Linked DNA regions of Kluyveromyces lactis. The protein of the gene in region 1 interacts with the protein of each later gene in a pairwise test. Links are inferred from orthologs where the notes say so. Each region holds a gene or a part of one and is shown on either strand. Other genes may lie near its edges.

What was found.
Region 2: the proteins of PSY4 (region 1) and PPH3 interact in binary tests that used the Saccharomyces cerevisiae proteins (3 or more experiments, as listed by UniProt). The link is inferred for Kluyveromyces lactis from reciprocal best matches to the Saccharomyces cerevisiae genes PSY4 and PPH3.

Annotation. Positions count from the first base shown.
Region 1 is NC_006041.1:510,663-514,147, reverse strand, and holds PSY4 (Psy4p), read left to right. Parts: upstream 1-1,603; coding exon 1,604-2,812; downstream 2,813-3,485. Other genes in the region: RSM7 (mitochondrial 37S ribosomal protein uS7m), read right to left, coding at 1-663. UniProt on the Saccharomyces cerevisiae protein: Regulatory subunit of the histone H2A phosphatase complex, which dephosphorylates H2AS128ph (gamma-H2A) that has been displaced from sites of DNA lesions in the double-stranded DNA break repair process.
Region 2 is NC_006041.1:889,517-892,447, forward strand, and holds PPH3 (phosphoprotein phosphatase PP4 catalytic subunit PPH3), read right to left. Parts: upstream 1,568-2,931; coding exon 641-1,567; downstream 1-640. Other genes in the region: AIM25 (Aim25p), read right to left, coding at 1-110; PEA2 (Pea2p), read left to right, coding at 2,369-2,931. UniProt on the Saccharomyces cerevisiae protein: Forms the histone H2A phosphatase complex in association with the regulatory subunits PSY2 and PSY4, which dephosphorylates H2AS128ph (gamma-H2A) that has been displaced from sites of DNA lesions in the double-stranded DNA break repair process.

The DNA.
Region 1 (3,485 bases):
TGATCTCTTCACAGAACTTTCCACAATCCATTTCCAAGCTAATCTAAACCTTTGTCTTTGATTCAATGGAACTGGAACCACAGTGGCCTTTGCGACACCAGTCTTGAAGGTCTTGATAACCATAAGAGGCGCCAACACATCCAAGGATTCTTTCAAAACTTTTACCGGGTCTTTCCTTGTTTGACAGAACACAATATATAACGCTCTTGAAAGAATCTTCTCAGCTCTTTCTCTTTTCCCGTGTCTCATAATCATATTCGTTACATGCTGTAAAACTGGATCCTGTTTTTTTGGAATGGGAACTTGCTTCAACGTTTCCCATTCATTTATTTGCTCTTGACTTGGCTCAAAGCTGGGCTTGTTCAATTCCATAGCCTTCTCCAAGATATTAATTCTAGATTGGTTACCTGGTGCAAGGGACGTAGCTGGGTTATAATCTTGTTGCGAAAACTCTTCTTCTAACGATCCAATAACTTTCAACCATTCATCAACCTGTTCGTCGCTAAGGCTAGCTAATTTCTCCCCTGTAGACGCATTATTATTCACAGATTGACTTTGGAATCTGGTTTGCATGGTCGGTATACTGGCAGCATGTACAAGTGGACTTCTTGCCAAAACGTTAGCATGGACGTGACTCAGACTAAACCTTCCTGCTCTCAACATACTGTACAATTTCCGTTGAATAGATGCCAGTGTACACAAGGACCACACAAGGACACACACAATACAACCAGAACCTATTCAATCTAAGAGTAACTCTCATTAGATCCAAATTCAAGCTTACTTCACCAGAATATGATGATATTGAATTTGGTTTGAAAATCGTAAATTTTTTTGATCAAAGGTTCAGAGATGAGCCAGTGTGAACAGTGTTACCCGCATAAATACACGTGACTACTAATGATCTGTTTCTATGTGCCGTTGGTAGTTTTGCCTGTCAGTGCATTGAGCACAAGCTTGCCAAGAATAATTAATGATATTATATAGACTGTACCTTATTAGACACCTTAGCCTTTAATATTATAGTAAAGATGTCGTTGATCTATTTTGTATTCAGGTATGTAACTATAGTATCTTTAGAACTTCCGTACTTAAGTGTTAAAATTCCTGCCGTTCTTAAGTGAAATCCTTTAAATAATATCACATTTCGTTACGTGAAAAGTTGGTGAAATTTGTTATATGCGCACAATATTATGTGAAATGATAAATAAAAGAAATTTGTTCAAATAACATGTAGGTTTCTAAGCTACAAAGATAGAACGGTCAATCAACAGACTAGAGAACGAACTTTATAAGGCTGCTGGCTGAGCTGGGATTGGCTAACCGTGTACTGTCTATTGGGACTAGGTGTTACAAGTCCGTTGTTTCATATTATTTTCCGAGACTATCCTTTTTATCTATTCTATATCTGCCAGTTTGGAATAAAAAAGGCATCGCTCATACTGGACTTATTTGTGCTAATTAGAATACCCCGAGAACACCGATCTTTCGTTAGTGCCATTTCAAGGAGATCTAACCAAGTGTAATATTACTATACCGTAGAATTTTTTTTTTTTTGCCAGCCTTTCCTACTATCAGCTCATTAATCAGATACATTGTCAATATGATGGGAATAAAATCCAGACATCTATACGACCGTTTGACTAAAATAGTTATCGATAAAGATCTAAGCGCGTTTAACGAAATATCGCCTTCGCAATTGATCCCACAGCTATCTGAACATTTCAGCATAACGATACCGAAGGAGATCTTCAATTATAACGAGGACCAAGAGGAAGACCTTTTACACAGATTGAAAGAGCTATCGAGGTACCTTGTTGTGAAATTTGCAAAAAGAGATAAGTATCCGTTCACGATTCAACGGATATGCGAATTATCTTACCATCCATTACAATATTTCCCTGTGCACAGTTTGCAAAAGTTTGTGTCGGCCATGGAGAAATGTTGCTTGGTGAATACTGATTGGACACCCAGGCTGGGCAAAGAGTGTCCAAACACAAACCCAATGGAAGATGTTTCTCTGATACCTATTGAGTGGATCCGCACGAATAAAGAAGATGAGAAGTCTTTGCAGGCGTTTATTTCGAAGATTGAAACTATAGTGGCTGTAAATTTTGGTTATGATGACTTCGACGACGACAATGAAGATGGTACAGATCATGACATCGGTCGTGGATATGATAACCATGGCGATGTGCTCATCGAGGAATACGAGGAAATGGATGAAGAATTCGAAGATGAGGACTATGAGGATCACGAAGATGAAGAAGAAGATGAAGAAGACGAAGACAACGACAGTGACGTCGACGAAATGGAAGCAGAAGAGGTGGAAGAGGATGCAAGTGACGACATCTCTATAGGCGAGATAGCAGAAAATGATGACCAAGATAATGCACATACAGATGTTACGGACACTCAGCTTAAGTACAATGGCGTTCCTATCGAAGAAGAGCTTCGATTATCTTCAACAAGTAGCGTTTTATCCGTCAGTTCACACGCGGCCAATGAAGATGAAAATGAAAGCATTCTTTCGAGGAAAAGAAATGTCACCGAGTTGGATGATTATCAGTACAAAGAAACCAAGGAGAATGATGGCTTCATAACAACTCCAAAGAAAAGTAAAATGCCCTTGAACGAGTTTGGATCATCGTCATCTATGGTATCCCCCGTAGTATCTAATCAGGAGGATCCATCCAGAAACGATGATTCAAGGATAAATACATTCATTTCTCCAGATACAACGAATTCAGTAACTCAAGCGGAAAAAAATGAGTTATCTACTAGTCCGTTGCAAGACAAAAAAAGAATGTGATCATGCAGCGCATGATTACGCAGTTATCATCAAGAAGTTCCACGCTATTATGTTAGATACAGAATAAAAACACAAGGCCTTAATTTAAGAATTCAGTTAGTTTTTTCATACATATGAAATAAATATAAATAAAGAGTTTATTAATATTTCCCGTGATACAAGGAAAACATAAAGGTCACTCTTCTTAGTATCAAATGAATATATCAGTAGGTTATTTCAGACAGGATTAATTATAATAATTTGATGTTTTTTTTCAGGTTTCGATATAGAAAGTAGAGTGTTGAATTTTTTTTTTAGGATGACTTGAATACCGCAATTTCCAGATTACCTCAAGAGAAAGTCTTGATGGTTAAAATGTATTCAATTGCTCACCAGTAAATGACAGTATCATAAATAAGGACATTGAACTCATATTTTTGTTTCGACGAATAATGAGCGAGATTTTGATTTATTTCGATTTAGCCTAAATTTTCAAATATCATTTGGAATTAAAAAATACATTATGTTCATTAAATGTATTGATCTTGAGGAGCTGTGACAGAGCGAAAAATCGAATGCGCCAGTAAACACCCTAGACTTTAGTCCAAAACAGTAAAATATTGATATAAATCGATCGTGACAAATTTCTTTTTTTGGGGGAATATACACACATGAAATTAAACTGTAACTTATT
Region 2 (2,931 bases), about 380 kb from region 1:
ACCGGAGTTGCCACTCTAGGAAGCCTTCTGAAAGCAGAATACTGACGTACTAGAGCAGCAGGCTGCGAACTGAAAATTCGTCTGGTAAGTGCTAGATTATATCTCCACATGGTGTATGAATATTGCCCGGTCAGCTGTTCCCTTGCATCTAAACGTCTATTTGACTTTTTGTAAGACTCCGTTTAAGGTTGAGATACTTAATTGAAGATCAAATATCAAAATATTACCGTTAAATCCAAAATTGAAGGGAAGGTAAAAGTATCGTCATAAATGTTCTGCTCGAATGGAATACAACCAGAAATTCCATATTACAGTATAATATGTATGCTATCAAATGAATCATATAATTCAATCGTACAATTATTGAAATAGTTTACTGTTACATACCTATTGGGATACTTTTATTGAAATGTGGTATATCACTGTGTTGAATGAGATTAAGAAGAGAGGTAATATTAATACAAAGCAACAACTGTAGGTTGAGCTATGCTGGGAGGATGGTCGGTTGATAATGAGGATCAGGGTGATATACCATGCTGTTAAATAATGCTGAAAGAAAAGAAGACTGAACCAATAACACGGGAATCGGTCAGCAAATCGAGAAGAGAGAGAGAAAAATGCAAATAATAATGGTAATAAGTTACAAGAAGTAGTCCATTTGAGGTTTTTTCGTAGGGAGAATGACATTACCTCCACTATCCCTCGCCTGAACAGCTTCAAAAATGGTGTAATCCTTCGTCATATCGTCATCGATGCGCAGCACAGCAGCCACATTCCCACAACGATAACAGTAGTTTGGTGCTGACCATACCGTGACTAATCCCCCATCGAACATCTCTTTATAACCTTCCATGACCAATTGATGAGCTCTAGCGATTAATTCGACACTATTTGTGTGTAAAAATTTATCTACTTCGTTTTGGCCAAATAGGAAACCTGCACCACGCGGGGAAAGAGACCAAGTATCCACATCCTCTGGATCCGACCACAATAAATCACACATAGCACCTTCATGCGGTACCTCCTTTTTCCTATCGATGGTTCGTATTTCGTTGATTGATAAAACGTCCGGCGATAATCCACCATGAACACAGAAAACCTTGTTGTTTACAATGGCACCCAAGGGCAAATAGTCGAATACTTCGCAACAGTATCTCCATACGTTACTGTTACCATATTTCCTTACCACTTCGTCGTAAAACCCATAAACCTTCGTAATCTGTCTTGTTTCATGATTTCCTCGTATCAACACAATTCTATCTGGATACCTTAATTTATAACATACCAAAAGAAGGAAACTCTCTAACGAATAGAACCCTCTATCCACGAAATCTCCCAAAAAGATGTATCTATTCTTTTCAATGCCTCCACTCTTAGCAAAGAGAGTCAACAAATCATGCAATTGGCCATGAATATCTCCACAAATTGTGACTGGCGTATCCACATGTGTCACGTTAGACTCATTCATAAGAAGTTCTTGAGCCATGACACACAGCGAGTATATCGAATCCTCGTCAACATGTTTCCCCTGCCTTAGAGTCTCTATAATCTCATCGAGTTTCATCATTGACAGATGCTCAGACGACGTTAAAGTTAAAACCAACTGGAAGTATAAAAGATAAAAAAAAGTGATTCCCTGTTCAAGAACTGACGATATTATTCTATAGTGATGAGTTTGGATCAAATCCAACAAAAACCTACCTTAAACTAATCTAACAAAGGTAAACTGAATAGTCATCATTAACAATATAGGCTTAAAAGCTTCTTTACTTTCTTATTTTCCAAAATTCGATGAGATAGACAAAATGCAAGTATCAAGAGAAATAAAAGTATCAAGTATCAAAAGAGGTAACAACAATTACATTTTTCGGTTAGCCTGAAAAGTCAACTTGTCGGTCTGCGCTTTCCGGTATGTCTACAGTATATAGCGTAGTGTGGAATGCTTGCCTGTGTTGTATATGGGAATTGTTCAGAATCTTGCTTCTTCTTCTTCTTCTCCTTCCATTGTTTCTTTTTTTTTGCCTGTACTCTTTTTTCACGTTTCTTTTTATCAGTTTGCTTCCTTTTTTGTGTTTCGGCCACAAAAACGATAATTTAACGTGACATGCGGGTAATGAGGTGTGCTTATGTAAGCCTTCGGAAGATGACACCCAGACATCGGAATGGCGGTATTCGTGCGTGGTGATGTCAAATATCACGTGGTTGATAATGTGCTTGTATTACCCGGAAACTGCATGTATGTCCCGTGCGTGGTAATTGAGAAAGGCATTGATCGGAATCAACGCGTCTGGATAGATGAACGGAATGTTAAAATGTAAGTTGCTACCAAACCAAGCTAGATACTGATCGCAGCTAGCCCCTTGATAGAATGCTTCGTAATAACCTGGACCAATGGTACGAGTACAATACCTCTTTTGTAGAGAAATTGCATGGGAAGTACCCCAATGAACAGTTGAATGAATATTTGCAAACTACGAGTACGAATTCCCTGATATCCAATAGACAAAATTCGGAGTGGGATGAGCTTCCAATGGATTTGGATTCCCAATTGAAATTGGAATTTGCATTGTACTTGATTAATGAATCTGCTAACGGTTCTCTAAGTACTAAGGGAACTACTTTCTTACAAAAGCTTGGCTCGGTAGACGTTGACACGTTGAAAGAATTAGTCCAATTGGTACTAGAGAATGATAAATCTTTAGCCAATAAAAGCACTGATGAGGATGAGGGGAAAGTGGAACAGATCACCTCCTACCTGATCTCTAGCTCCATTTCTAAAGGTATCAATTTGGCATCAATAGACAATTCTTCCAACGAGGAGGGTGTACATGATCCAATCTCATTTTGTAAGAAAAACATCGACATCCTGTTGGATGCATACCCACAGAATTCAAGCAGTTCTTTGCAACACGCGCCCCTTTCTACCTCAGA